Rhinolophus ferrumequinum: one gene and its partner. The protein of the gene in region 1 purifies or fractionates together with the protein of each later gene. This does not show direct contact. Links are inferred from orthologs where the notes say so. Each region holds a gene or a part of one and is shown on either strand. Other genes may lie near its edges.

Region 1 (8,357 bases):
AAATAATCAATTTACATTTTGAAATTAAATTTTGTTTAACTAGTTAAGTTTATTCAAATTAATTAAAGTTAAATTTAATTTTAAAAGTTAAAATTAGGCAACTCTCTAATTTCAGTCATACTCTTCCAAAAGAAAGCAATATAACAATAATCAATAATAGAGGCTATGTTTCCATCCTATCACAAAATTGTGATGTAGATTTAATTCTTGGACTCCAAAAAAAATTTCCGATAAAGGACTGCCTTTACTTCCCAGCTTGTGATGGGCTGTTTCCCTAACCCAGTCATTACCAGACTTCAAATCTAGAGAATAAGTTTGGAGGCTGAGGACTAACCCCTGAAGGAGGGTAGACAGGAAGGAGAGGTGAGAGAAATTAGGGAGTGGCAGATGGTACAAGAGGTTGATAAACAGTGGGCTATTGCATGTTCCTCTTCCCCAAAGTTCCATTCATCCTAGCAGAAGCTTCTCTCCAGTCAAGTGGTCCACCTTTTTTTTTTTTTCTTGGCAGAATTCTGAAAGCCATCTGGTTCAATTTGAAGCCTTTTCTTTGAGCAGTTAGAGTCAGAGACCTAAAGAACAGGTCATTTTGAACTTTTTTTTTTTTTAATAGCCACTCATATTAATGAAAAAAAAAACAAACAAACTGATGAATTATTTGCCATTTTGTAGAATTATAATCCCCACCCTACAAAGGACACACACATAAGCCAAAAAAATAGCCAGCACTCCAATTATCTAAGTAAGATATTAGCATGCTACAATTTTTCATTTTAAACTGGGTACATCGATATATATAATCAACATTTTGACAGCTGCTCTGTGCTTGGAAAGGAAACCCTGTTTTTGTGTCACAAGGCTTTATTAATTCTAAAATGAAATGATCTGGAAATCAGCAATACCTTGAGGTCTGAGGCTTACTGGTTGGGCATACACATTAATGTTTTAAAAGATTATTTTAATTCTGCTGAATTAAAGTTCTGAATAAGGAATGAGAAAGAAAAAAGAATAATGGTTAAGCCCCTAGTATTTATGAATTTTACATGTGTGATTTCAGTCGTGTGAACTCTATTACAATAATAGCTATCACTTTTCACTGTATATTGTATGTGAGGCCCTATGCTAGGGAATTTACATTTCTTCTCTCATTTAATCTCATAGTGACTTTATAAGGTAAATATTATTCTCATATTAAAAATGAGAGACTTGCAGCAGAAAAAGGTTAAGCCATTTGTCCAAGATGTTCCCATTTGGAAAAGTGTAGAGTGGGGAAGATAATTTAGGTTTAACTAATTATAAATGTCATGTCCTTTCTAGCTATTTTTTCAGAATTTTTTTTTCAAATTTAAAAACATTTTGCTGTAGTGTTTGTGAATGCTCATCGAGAGAGTCTTCTGGGATTCCTGAAATGTTTCATGATCTGGGCGGTGGTTATATGTAAGGATTCATTCAGTTTGTGAACGTTCACTGAGGTGTTCACTTATCACTTGTGAGATTTTCTCTGTTATATGTGATAAAATGTTCTTTAAAAAGTACTTCATGCTGAATACAGAAAATGTGAAAGACATAAGCACAAAGGGGGAAAAATTCACAGGTCTTTTGTGGTTCCATATAAATTTTAGGTTTGTTCTATTTCTATGAAAAATGTCATTGGTATTTTGACAGGGATTACATTGAATCTGTAGATTGCTTTGGGTAATGTGCACATTTTAACAATATTAAGTCTCCAAATCCATGAGCATGGAGTATTTTTCCACTTATTTGTGTCTTCTTCAATTTCTTTCCGTAATATCTTATAGTTTTTGGTATACCACTCTTTCACCTTGGTTAAATTTACCTGTATTTTATTACTTTTGACGCAATTGCAAATGGGATTGTTTTCTTCATTTCTTTCTGATAGTTCATTGTTAGTGTACACAATGATAGTTCATTGCTAGTGTAAACACAACAGATTTTTGTGTATTCATTTTGTATCCTGCAAATTACTGAATTCATTTATTACTTCTAATAGTTTTTTGAAGGAATGTTTATGGTTTTTTGTTTATATCATATCATCTGCAAATAGGGACAGTTGTACTTCTTCCTTTCCAGCTTGGAGGACTTTCAATTCTTTTACTTTCCTAATTGCTCTGGCTAGGACTTCCAATACCATATTGAATAAAAGTGGCAACAATGGATATTCTTCTCTTGTTCCCGATCTTAGAGGAAAAGCTTTCAGCTTCTCACTGTAGGGAATGATGTTCATTGTGGGCTTGTTATATATGGCCTTCGTTATATTGAAGTGTTTCATTTATGCCCACTTTGTTATCATAAATCGATGTTGAATTTTGTCAAATGCTTCTTTTGCATCTATTAAGATGATCATGATTTTTATCCTTCATTTTGTTAATGTTACGTATCACATTGACTGATTTATTGATACTGAACCAGCCTTGCCTCCCTGGAATAAATCCCACTTAATAATGGTGTTTGATCCTTTTTTTTTTTTTTTTTTTAAAGATTTTATTGGGGAAGGAGAACAGGATTTTATTGGGGAACAGTGTGTATTTCCAGGACTTTTTCCAAGTCAAGTTGTTGTCCTTTCAATCTTAGTTGTGCAGGGCACAGCTCAGCTCCAGGTCCAGTTGCCGTTGCTAGTTGCAGGGGGCGCAGCCCACCATCCCTTGTGGGAGTCAAGGAATCGAACCTACAACCTTGTGGTTGAGAGCCCACTGGCCCATGTGGGAATTGAACCGTCAGCCTTCGGCATTAGGAGCACGGAGCTCCAACCGCCTGAGCCACCGGGCCGGCCCCCTGTTTGATCCTTTTAATGTATCGTTTTATTTGCTTTGCTAATAGTTTGTTGAGGATTTTTGCATCTGTGTTCATCAGGGATATTAGCCTAATATTCTTTTCTTGTGGTAACCTTAACTAGTATTGGAATCAGGGTAATGCTGCCCTTATAAAATGAGTTTGGAAAAGTTCCTTCCATTTCTATTTTTTGGAAGAGTTTGAGAATTACTGGTATTAATTCTTCTTTGGATGTTTGGTAGAATTCACCTGTGAAGCCATCTGGTCCTTGACTTTTGTTTGTTGGGAGGCATTTGATTACTGATTCAAGCTCTCTATTAGTTTTTGGTCTATTCAGCTTCTCTGTTTCTTCATGATTCTGTCTTGGTAGGTTGTATGTTTCTAGAAACTTATCCATTTCTTCTAGGTTGTACAATTTGACCTATAATTGTTCATAGTAGTCTCTTGATCCTTTCTATTTCTGTGGTAACAGTTGTAATATCTCCTTTCATTTCTGATTTTATTTGAGTTCTCTTTTTTTTCTTGGTGAGGCTAGCTAAAGGACTTATGGGTTCTTAAACCATTAAATTTAATTATGTTTACTAGTGTTAGGAATTTAAAGGAATCGTCAGATATGTATTCTATTAGAGAAAAACAACTTTTAACATTCAAAACTTCTAAGATTACTTAAATCCTTCAAATAAAAAAAATATACCATTGTTGCATTATTGCTCCCTTGATACTCTGATAGGTCTGATAAGTAAGAGAGAAAGCAGCATGTTAAAGGAAAGATCAATGAACTAGCAGTCAGGAATTCTGGTTTCTAGTTTTGGCTGTGCCACTTGCTCAAAGCCTGATTGTGGACAAGTCTCAACTTCTTTGGACTTCAGTTTCTTCAACTGTAAAATGAGAGGATTGGGCAGTATCTCAAAGGCCACTTACAGCCAAAATAATTTATGACACTGGTGATTTGGCCAGGCTTGGATCAAATTTTTATTACAATAAAGAATGAATAAAGCACAAACATTCAACAAGTGGGAGAACAAAACTTGCCATCTTGATTTGCAACTAGAGCAGATACAATGTGTTTCCTGTTCTTTCCACAAGTAGTCATGGAAAGGGAGGTGGGAAGAGGACAGGGACAGGGGCAGGATATCCTTCCCTGGCATGTCACTCACCAGCCTATATAATTTTTTCATGGCCACTGGGTCTGATATCCCAGAAGTCCATCCCACAAAACTAAAAAATTACAAATAAATTATTTTGGAGAGAGAATGAGTCCTTAATTTTATTTGCTATATTTTTTTTCAAGCGAGTTCCTTGCATTGGGTGAATTTATATAGTGACATAATTTCAGGGACTTCAGGGAAAGATAATATTTACAGAGAAACACCTTCAAGAACTTTAGTGTGCCTTTGGTAGGCTAATACTGTTGCTAGTTTGTAGGTGAACGGTGGACGAAACTGGAAACTGGACAAGTGAAAAGAGAGAAATGCCCGGAGACCTAAAACATTTCTAGGGAGCAGAAAGGGACTTTGTTCTTTCGAGTAGTATAGCTTTAAGTCACTGTGAGATTGATTATATACTTGCCAACCTCCCTTTGATGACAGGAACTGTGTCACTTATCTTTATATCCCTAGCGACAGATATAACCGACAATTAAGTATTTGTTGAATTGACTTGAGCAAAAACTGCGCGGGCATAAGGTAGGGAAAAAGAGACCAGAATAACATCACCTTGGATATCTGAAACTTTTTAAAAGATTTACTGCAAGATTAACTACAAAGGGAAAGGGACTTCAACGGAGCACTTTTTCAGATGAGATGTCAACCAACCAGAACAGGAAAGAGAGGTCATGAGAGTTCCTTGAAAACTGATCAGGCAACAGGTTTGAACCCCCAACTGAAAAAGAGGAGCGACAGCGATACGCAGATTGGCAGAACTGAGGAGTGTCTAGGGTCAGAGAAAAACCAAAGTCAGAGCCCAAGGGAGAGGCTGAAGAAACTCCGTCCACGGGCCGGCCCAGAGAAGCTTGCTTTGAGCTTGTTTCTTAACAGAACTATCAGCAAGCCCTAAAAGATGTGCAGTACGGGCTGATATTTCAGCCTGATAACTTCCGTGTGTGTGTGTGTGTGTTGGCCTAACTTCCGTGTGTGCGTGTGTGTGCCTGTGTGTGCAACAAGGAGCGCCACCCGTGAACTTCCGCGTGCGACGGACCCCGAAGTGTCGCCCTGCCGCGCCCCGTCCTGCCCCACCTGTGAGGAAACCTGCACTCGCGGAGGGGCGGGTCCCCACCGCCGCGGGCAGGGGCGGGGCCGCGGCGCGTCGGAGCCTTCCGCAGCCCCACAGGCCGCCTCAGCCACGCTCGCCGTCGCCCCGCCCCGCGACTACATTTCCCAGCAGGCCGCAGGGCGCCCGCGCGCCGCAGTTGACCCATTTCCCGGCCCGTCCCGGGCTCGGCCGGCCCCCGCGCCCAGGCGGCTGCTCCCTGCTGACTGGGGTGTGGGCGGGGAGCGGCGGAGGGAGGAGGAGGCGCTGCTGGCCGCCGCCGTTGCCTCCGCTGCTGGGCGCCTGGGCAGCACCCCAGGTTTCCGCGGCCGCCATGGACGAGCAAGCGGGTCCCGGAGTCTTCTTCAGCAACAACCATCCGGGCGCCGGCGGTGCCAAGGGTCTCGGGCCTCTGGCGGAGGCTGCAGCGGCCGGCGACGGGGCGGCTGCGGCAGGGGCGGCCCGAGCCCAGTACAGCTTACCCGGGATCCTGCATTTCCTCCAGCATGAGTGGGCCCGCTTCGAGGTGGAGAGAGCCCAGTGGGAGGTGGAGCGGGCGGAGCTGCAGGTAAAGACCCTCCCGGCCTGGCCCTTTTTATCCCGCCTCTTTGCTCTCTTCCGCCCCGCCCCGGACCCTTTCCCCTCCCCCCTCTGCCCTCGCTGGTCCACTCCCCTTTGCTCCTGCCCATCCTACCCAGAACTGTCCCCTTCCCCCTTCACCTTTGCTTTAGGCTGACCCCACTTCCTTGACTCGGGTTCCCATTCCCGCCCTGACGCGTTGTTTACCCTCCCCGCTCCTTTTCTTCTACTCCTTCCTTCTCCTAACTCTCTCATTTCAACTCTTGCCATCCCTCATTTTAGGTCTTCTCTCTGAGTATACTAATTGGGCTGACAGTAGTTTTGAAAGATGTCGAGCAAATCATCCTGTCCCAGTGAGTCCCATCTTAGGTCTAGAGACGTTCCCCGCCGTAGGTATTGGCAGTTGGCTCCTCTCTGAGAGGAAGGTGATCAAAGAAGACATCAGAAGTTGTGTCTGTGAGGCCTTGACTTAGGCAAGAAGCTGACGTAGGGCAGAAGTGTAACTAGGAATATCAGCTCCCTTCTTACATATGTGAGTGTTTTTTCTCTTTCCCTCTCCCTCTCCCTGCTGCCACTTTTCCTTTAGGTATTTCAGATTCGTGGATTTTAAAATGAAGAACCTAGATAATCGCAATCAGATGATGGTTCAGAGATGGTTTCCTGTTCTTAGAATCAAAAACTTCCCAAGGATTAATTTTATGTTCAGTGTTTTGTGAAATTGACGTTCACTTCAAAAGGAACTAAAAGGGGCTTTAAAGTTGGTTACATTTCCTTGTATAATCTGCAAGGTAAAAGTATATCCAGGGAGGACCTATTGTGGGCTCTTAGAAGAATGAAAGTGAGGCTGATACTTTACGGGCCATTCTGAATTGGTAAATAGGTTTCAGTGGCTGTTCTTACAACTTCCAAGCCATGCACCAATTTCACAGGGAACCTAACTATGCGTAGCTGTGCCTTTCTGTTTTACTGGCTAATCCTGTATGCTGATGAAATCTGAATATACGTTGTTTTGGTTGGTGAAACACTTGTAGTTAAAATGCTACCCAGTGTTTGTTACTCTTTTTTTGGTAACATGTATTTTCCTTGGCACTTAAAAAAATGAAAAGGAGAAATCTGTTAAATAGAATCTGCTGGAACAGGATGCTTTGATACAGTGCAAGTGGCAATGGAAAGAGCAAGGGGACAGGTTATAGTAGACAGGGTTATAGTATGGACTGTGCTTGCTGCTAGCTCTGTGACCTTGAGGAAATCCTTTAACCTCTCTGAACTTCAGTTTCTTCATTCAGTTGCCATAGTGGCAACTGCTTTGAGAAAGATAATTCAGGATACAGGAATAAAGTGTGATAGGGGCAGCTATTTTAGAGGGGGTGGTCAGGGAAGGCCTCTGGGAGGAGTGGAAGGAAGTGAAGAAGTGACCCACAATTTCTAAGATTCCTTCTGATTCCTTTAGTTCTGCAGTTGTATGTTTATATTTGGTGGCTTTTTCATCCCTACTATTATGTTGCTTTTGTATCTGGTCTTTTGATAATTTGTAATTTTTCTTGTAGTGAATCTGACCGTGTCAGTATAGTAACCAGCAGACTTAAATGCTTCATTCAAATATTGGTAATTCACCTTTGTTAGAAGTGCATTCCATAAATGAACTTGTGGATTTCAGACTTAAAGGAAGTGTTAAAGGCAGGTGTTAATTTTAACATTGTTCAGTTGTTGAACACACACACACCACTTACGGGGTTATTTATGGCAAATGTTAAACTTAAGGTAGGTTTCCCATTGGTACTCATCATATTAAGGACACTACATTTCTACAGTATTTTTTGGTTTTGGGTTTGTGCTCAAATTAAGCATCCACAGAGGAACTTTAAAAAATACATCCTATTTTCCAAACAGAGCAAGTATTATGTCTTTTAGAGGGGGAGAGAGTTTGCAGAAATCTATGGTTTTGATCCCCGTATTAGCATTATTGAAACTATATTTTAAAAATAATTTCTTTACATTGACATCGTTAAATTTGAACATATTCCTTCATTTTTCTTTTGCGATTGGAATTTTCCTGGAAAAACAATAGGAAGTAAGAGTTGAATGAGTGATGATGAAATTTGGATCAGTTGGTGTCCTTTTTTTAAATTTAAAATCTCTTCTCAAGTCATTAACATCAAAGTCAACAAAAATACCTTTAAGATTAAGTCTAATGTGTCCCTTCAGGAACCTGTCAGTCCTGCTTTTTCAGGTTGCCAGGTCAGAATTGTGAAAGACAATCCACGCTCTCAGCTATCTACCTGGTCTGCCTTCATCACTTCCTCCTTCAGATCTTGGGAATAAGGAACTGGCCACATTATACCAAAACTTATTTGTCATTTCTTCCCCTTTGCCCATCTTAGTTAATAAGACTCTCTTTTTACTTTTCATAATCCCCCTCCTCCCTAACCACCACCATTGCAGGTGAGAGTAGGTGGTCAAAGAATGGTCAAGATTATTGCTGAGGTTTATATTTGTGAAAAAACTTGGAGATGGGATACATAAAATTCGAGAGAATTTTCTGTGTGTGCTACAATGGGCTAGATGACCTCAAAGAAACATGCAGTCTAGTTGGAGTGATAGAACAAACAAAATGCATAAGAATCGGAGTATTTATTATTTGGGGGGTTTAAATTTTCTTAGACTAGCACAAGAGAGCAGCTAGCAGTGAGTGGGGAGAATAGCAGAAAGAAAGAACTTTATGAGACCCTAAGTTTCTCTGTATT
Region 2 (7,479 bases), on another chromosome or scaffold:
AGACTCTGAGCAGGGACCCTACCTTTTTCTCTCTAGTATTTCTCAAAGGGCCCATGATACCATCTTGTAATAAGCAGCATTCAAATGTTTTTCCTCAACAATTTTATGGGCACACTAACACCCCAGGTCTTTCTTTGTAAATTATTTCTATTTTAATCAAAATGGTACATGAAAATAGCTTTTAAAAAATCAAGACTACATGGCTTATAAAATACACAGTAGTTCCTTGCTTTGTTCACCAAAGGTAACCACTTTTAATACTTTTATCTATTTCTTTGGTATTTACTTCTATAATTTTAAATAATATCCTTGTAACTGCTATTTCCTGATCATCAATTTTAGACATTATCTAGTGAATTTCCTTTTATGGCAGATGAGGGATTTTAGTTCACATGTAATCTGTCCCTTCCATTCTCTCTACCCTCTTGATCTGATAATATTTCAATTTCTAGCCAATACATAGTTGGCATTTTCATTGTTTGCCACTGATTATATTTCCTTTTTTGAAAAGGGTATGGAGGAGGAGTTTTAATTTTAAATCATGAGCACACAGAAAACATCAATACATTGCAATGATAAGATAGTAATGGTATACCTTCCAGGCTCTATGAAAACTCCATGAAATATTGTGAATTCAAAACAGCAATAATCTTACCTCTAATTGGGCTAGTTTTTCCTGAATCTTACAAAATTGGTCATCATCCACCTGAACTGCTTTCCTCATCACTTCTCCCATTTCACAGATTCTGTCAATCTGACTCTCAATTTCCTGGGAAGATATTAACACAAAAAAAGGTGAAAAAGTCATCTTTCCTACAGATAGGAAGTTCATGAGAACATGTGCAATACGATGTTAAAAAGTTCATTGAATTATGCTACAGGTTACACAGGAGTTTCACTGAGTCCTCAGAGGTGAAGCCATGATCAAGTTATCTTGTGGTATTCACAAATAATTTGTTTTCAAAAGATCAATTCTAGTCTAACCACCCACTGGATGTTGGACAATATCTCTTAACTGGCTGTTTAACTTAAATTAGAATATTGGCAAGCTCTGCATATTCTAAGGTACCTTATTCTGTCTATGTACTTATCTCTTAGAAAGTCTTTCATGAGCTAAATTCTGTGTCCTTCAAGGTTCAAGTTTTCTCCTCTAGTCTAAAGAAAATAAAGTTTATTTTTCTCTTCTAGATGAAAGCCATAAACATATTTAAAACATCCCTGTTCCCTAAGACTTTTGTTAAGTCAGTAAAATGTTTTCAGTAGAACCTAAGAAAACTTTTCATAAATTCCACTGTAGCAAATAGTGAGGCACCATTCTATTAAGCCAGGATTAAATGATTTAGTACATGTGAATACACAATGACAACTATGAAGCACTCTACAGACAGAAGAACAATTACTGGGTCTCCCAAATTAAGTTATGAACAACCAAAGTGTAGAAACTATACCATGTATGTATTTTTAAACCATACTTCTCTCTCTTAACAAGAGTGTGCTCGGTAGCTCAGTTTAATAAAGGTTTACTGACTGCCTGCTATGTGCCAGGTACTATGTTAGGGATAAAAGATGAATTCATACTTCTTACAGCCAAGGAGTTTACAGTGTAGTGAAATGTGCAGTAATAACCCATCAAGTATTTACTCAGCACCTTCAACACTAACTGGCATTATGTTTGGTGGAAGAACTAAGCATTCATCAACATCTTGGAAAGAGATCTTGGTGAGGGAAGGAGGAACCTTGGTCCTACTCAAATAAAAGGACTTGAGCAGCCCCTCACCTCCTTCTTTCTATTCATATCTTGACACAGCTATAGCAAAATCAACAGCGAATCTAATAAACACGAAAGGAAAACACACTAACTTTTCTTCAGAAGCAAGCACACAATCGAAAACAATTCCAAGATTTCAATTTTCAGTTCACTGAGAATTTACTCCTCAAAGTGACTTACAGCAGAGTGAGACTGGTGAGCTTTCAGGACTGGTTCAGCATCCACAGCTTTTTTAGCAACCATTAATTGTAACATCTGTTTCCGGTACTTGCTCATGATGAGTTCCAAAGCATCCTGGTGTTCCTCCAAGGAAACCCATAGCTCTATATCAAAAAATGAAATAACTTGGCAGTGATGCCTGAAAGATAGCTCTCAAAGCCAAGCCAAATTCTTACCAGTTGGAATTGTATGGCACTCCATGAGCTGTTGTTACTCCAAAGTTGTAAATCAGTGTTCAGCTCCACAAAACTCAACAGTTAAGGTCTATGTGAAACAAAACTTTCTAGGCAGAGGCAGCATAGTTTGGTAGAAACATGGGATACAGAATCAGAAGGCATGGGCTTGAGTTCAGTTCTGTGAGTTACTAGCTTAATGCTCTTAAGCAAATCACTTAACCTCTTTGAACCTATTTCTTATCTGCATTGTAATAATACCAGCTTGTTTGAACTCAAAATGAAGATACAAGAATACAATGGGATGACCTATGTGGAAACCCTCTGTAAACGAGTATACAAATGACTATTCACAGTCATTAATAACGTACTCATCCAGACCAAGAATACATTCCCTAAAGTAAAAAATTCAGCTCTCCCACCTTGCACAAGAACATTAAAAATACCTTCGATCTTAATTTTAGTACTTATTTCAATTAATATTTAAACATTGAATTTTAATCCCTTGAGGATATTAATTCTTTTGTTGTGCAAGCCTCCAACTGGGGAGGCCTAAATAAAGCCACGCAACAATTCAACTCTGCTAAGCACCTCTTTGATAAGCTGCCTACAAATAAAATGAGTCGGACAACCTTGAAAAGAGTAATGTAACAAACTTTATTGTTACCGGGCCAGCACAGGGTAACGCTCTTATTAAAAGTAGTGACCTGGAAGTACATACAGCGTGTGCACGTTTGTGAACAGGTCGGCAGGTTTGCAAGAACTTTTGAATTATTACCGGATATAACAAAATCATAGTAACTCCACAAAAAGGACTGACTAACCTCTGTTTTCCTGCTGCAAGTCTCTAATCTGTGTATTCTCTTGGGACAGCAGAATGTGAGGTTTGTATTTGGACATGTCCTTTATATCGGATGCATCCTCTTGATACTGGACAAACAGAGACAGACGAAGCGCGCCGTCAACAGAACAGCCGCAGATGCAGGAACCTAAGAGGCAGGAGTCAGGGCTCCGGCGCAGCATTCTCATCCCCGACCCCGCAGGAAGCTCTCACCGCCGCCCTCTGAGACCAGACAGAAGACATTCCAGGCCAAGTTCCCACTCGACCTCGCCTTCCACCTGTCAAGTGCCCAGAACCTGAGAACACGGACCCGTCCCTACCCTCTGCCTGACCTGGTCCGGAAGCGCTGTGCCCGCCTCCCGCATAGCCGCTACCCGCCGGTGCAGCGCCGCCGACTGATCCACCAGCGACTCGGCGGCCGCATCGTGCTCCCGCAGCCTCTCCAGCAGCGTCTTAGCGTCTGTCAGGATCTTCTCGATGGTGCAGCTCATAGCGGCCGCGGGACCACAGCTCCAGCGCTGCTCCCCTAAGCGAACCGCTCGGCTCCTCCCCCACCTGTCTCAGCGGCAATAACGTCACTTCCGGGTACGCTTAAAAGGCGCCGGGGCAGCCGTGAGATGCGCCTGCGCGGTGGCATCCTACTCCTCCAAGGACCCTTTCCTCAGTGGCTTCCCTGGGCCCCGCCCTTGGCAGAGCCTGAGGCCTGCCCTCGCCACGCCCTTGGTTTCCTGTTCCCACAGCCTGGTGGTGGAGTTTTAGCTGGGCGGTCCCAGTTTCTACTTTCCCTATTGGTTTTTGATAGATGTGGATTCTTATTAAGTCATCTTTTTTCCCCCCATTTAGTTTTTGAAAAATCGTGGTCAAATACACCTAAAATTTATCATCTTAACCATTTTTTAAATGTACAGCTCGACAGTATTAACTGTATTCACCATGTGCCACTATCACCACCATCTATTTTTCTCCAGAAATCTTTTCATCTTGCAAAACTGGAACTCTGTAGCCATTAAACATTAACTCCCTATTTGGCCCTCCTCTCAACCCCTGGCAACCTCTATTCTACTTTCTGTCTCTATGAATGTGACTACTTTGGGTACCTCATGTAAGTGGAAACATACAAATCACATTTGTCATTTTGTGACTGGCTTATTTCACTTAGCATAATGTCCTCAAGGTTCATCCATCCATGTCACAAAAAAATTTCCTATCTTTTTAGGGCTGAATATATCTATCTATCTCACATTTTGTTTATTCATCCATTGATAGATATTTGGGTTGCTTCCACATTTTGGCTACTGTGAATAATGCTGTTACGAACATGGGCGTACAAATATCTGTTTGAGTCCCTGCTTTCAATTCTTTTGGGTGTGTACACTGAAGTGGAATTGTTGGGTCATATGATAATTCTTATTTTAAAAATTTTGAGGAATGACCATAATGTTTTCCACAGTGGCTGCACCATTTGACATTTTCACCAACAGTGCTTAGTGGTTCCAATTTCTCTACATCCTTGCTATTTTCGGTTTTTCCTCCACACTATTTTCTGAGTTTTTTTTTTGTTGTTGTTGTTGTTGTTATTTGATAGTCATCTTAATGGGTGTGAGATGGAGTCATTGTTTTCTGTTTGCCTATATCTTCTATTTTAATTCAATTAATAACTTGAGGATAAATTTAACCAGAAGAGCAATGACTTTTGTGCTGCTTGTTATAATGGTTTATGAGTTTACCTTGTCAAGCTTGTACGTCAAACTTTGTTCTTTTTCATTCATTACTTTAGTAAATATTTTTGGAGAGCCTTCTTTTCAGGAACTGTTTAGTGTCTGGAAATACAGCATTATCTTTGCTTCTAAACCTGTTCCTTCTCCTGTTTCAGTAAAGAGCACATTTATACACCTATTTGCTCAAAACAGAATCCTGGAAGTCATCCCTTACTCTTCCTACGAATTCTTTACACTAATCAGTTACCAAAGCAACCTATCTCTTTTATATCTTTGGGAGATATTTCCTTCTTTGTATTTTCACTGCTACTCACCCAGATGAAGCCACAGTCTTCCAGCTGGTCTTCTCCCTACCTCAAGTCATCTCCACAGCTCTAGCACAACCCCTTGCTGCCCTTTCAGTGGCAGGCAATTATCTTTCTATGTACCACCCACATTAAGACAGAGCAAGACGGGTCATACTAATTCCCCAGTGACACTGATAAACAATTACTCTTACTTGCGATGTAAAACCTCCACATTATTTAAAGTTTGTATCATCCAGCTGAAGAATCTTCTATCTCTCCTTCTGACTACCAATGATTAACCTTCTACCTTGAATATTCCCCTTCATTCATAGAAGATTTCAGGAGTTGGCTTATAGTCTTTTTGATTAATCCATGTGTGGTTCTCACCTTGGATGACATTCATGTCCATGGGGACAATTCATCTAATGTTCTATCCTTCCTCAGCCCCCTCAGTTCTAGAGACATTCAATTTTTTTTTTCGGTTACCTATGGCCAAACCCTTGATCATTTACCAAAAATTGTTCCTCATCAGAAATGTTAAGCTTTACCATCTAATTCTTTGACCACAGCCTTTGTTTCAACCTGTCTAGTTCTTGCAACCCTTTATTCCACTACTATCTCTGACATCATCCAGCTCTCCGATTTCTGAATATATCAATATTCCCCCTACCTATCAGACTCTTTTCTTTCTTTTTTAATTAAAGTTTATTGGGGTGACAATTGTTAGTAAAGTTGCATAGATTTCAGGTGTACAATTCTGTATTGCATCATCTATAAATCCCATTGTGTGTTCACCACCTAGAGTCAGTTCTCCTTCCATCACCATATATTTCAGACTCTTTTCTTGTGGTCTAATTTTCTTTCCCTGACCAGACTGGGCTCTTATGATTGGCGGTCAGAACCATTGTCTTTCTAACATCCCTAATTTCTTTGCACCTCTCTTTTTAAGCCAAATGCAAGCAGTTAACTCTAACCCTTGACCAATCCAATGATTCTAGTAGTGGTTAAAAGGGGATACAGAAATAAGAGAGGGTTCTTGTTTATGTTTTTTATTTTGTTTTTATGAACAAGTCTTGAGCATGCTTATAGGCTTTATAGAGGAAGGATCCAATCAAGAAAGAGATACAAGGGCCGGCCCGGTGGCTCAGGCGGTTAGAGCTCCGTGCTTCTAACTCCGAAGGCTGCTAGTTCGATTCCCACATGGGCCAGTGGGCTCTCAACCACAAGGTTGCCAGTTCAATTCCTTGAGTCCCGCAAGGGATGGTGGGCAGAGCCCCCTGCAATTAAGATTGAACATGGCACCTTGAGCTGAGCTGCCCCTGAGCTCCCAGATGGCTCAGTTGGTTGGAGCGCGTCCTCTCACAAGGTTGCCAGTTCGATTCCTTGATTCCCGCAAGGGATGGTGGGCTGCGCCCCCTGCAACTAGCAATGGCAACTGGACCTGGAGCTGAGCTGCGCCCTCCACAACTAAGATTGAAAGGACAACAAACTTGTGTTGGAAAAAAGTCCTGGAAGTACACACTGTTCCCCAATAAAAGTCCTATTCCCCTTCCCCAATAAAATCTTATATAAAAAAAAGAAACAGATACAAGAGAGTAGGGGACATTTGAGGGAAGAGAAGGGACACAATAGCTATTTAATAGACCTTTGTTGATTATTTATTAGGATGGTGGGCTGAAGAATCTGGATTTGAATAGAATAAGAAACATTTCATTCTCCTTAATTCGAAAGAAAATAAAAAGGATAGATATAAATATGGATTCGAGATGGGGAAACATGAAATTGAAGGGACCTGTAACTTTCAAGCCATCCCAATACTTCTGCATCCCACCCATCAATAAACCAATAAGATAAGCTCAGGCACTTCTAGTGCTGTTTATGGGTATTACACAAACTGCCCAAGACCTCTTTTGCTTGTTCTGACTTATTTCCATTCTGACCTAATTTCTGTCTGGCTCCTGTTTCTCGGTTCCATTTCCTCTTTATTATTTCACTCTTACTCTTTTGGGTCAGGAAGTGATTTTGGGTCTCCCTCCCTTTATTCTCAGCTCTCAGATGGCCCTATCAGCAGTTCTACTTGTGCCTCTCTCAGAGTATACACCTTAGCCCAGTGATCCTCCGATGATCCAAATGCCAAATGTGACTCCTACACACTTACATGAACTCTAGGGAGGGAGACACTTGGACATTTTTCTAGAAATACCTCTTCTAGTACCATGCCCATTGCTGTAGCCACACCACACAGACAGGTAACAGACTTACTCCTTTCCCTGAACCTGAGAAACTCTGCTCAGAGGTATGAGAACACAGGGCTCTGGGAGCAGATGGTGGTTTCAATGGTCCACAACAGAGACAAGGGCAGAGATATTCGACTTTACCTGACCCCTTGTACCCCCATGGCTTCTTTCAGTGATTGTCCACACATATATGTCCCATATTGCATTTATTAAATACCCTATTTTGCTCCTTTTTC

The links. The genes of interacting proteins can lie anywhere in the genome.
Region 2: the proteins of STRN (region 1) and SIKE1 purify together in Homo sapiens (affinity purification with mass spectrometry; 4 studies listed by BioGRID and IntAct, with this or other methods). This does not show direct contact. The link is inferred for Rhinolophus ferrumequinum from reciprocal best matches to the Homo sapiens genes STRN and SIKE1.

What each region holds. Positions count from the first base shown.
Region 1 is NC_046296.1:46,311,798-46,320,154, forward strand, and holds the start of STRN (striatin), read left to right. Parts: upstream 1-5,224; 5' UTR 5,225-5,368; coding exon 5,369-5,602; intron 5,603-8,357. UniProt on the Homo sapiens protein: Calmodulin-binding scaffolding protein which is the center of the striatin-interacting phosphatase and kinase (STRIPAK) complexes.
Region 2 is NC_046305.1:45,448,998-45,456,476, forward strand, and holds the start of SIKE1 (suppressor of IKBKE 1), read right to left. Parts: upstream 3,556-7,479; 5' UTR 3,493-3,555; coding exon 3,334-3,492; intron 3,091-3,333; coding exon 2,985-3,090; intron 2,092-2,984; coding exon 1,949-2,091; intron 770-1,948; coding exon 656-769; intron 1-655.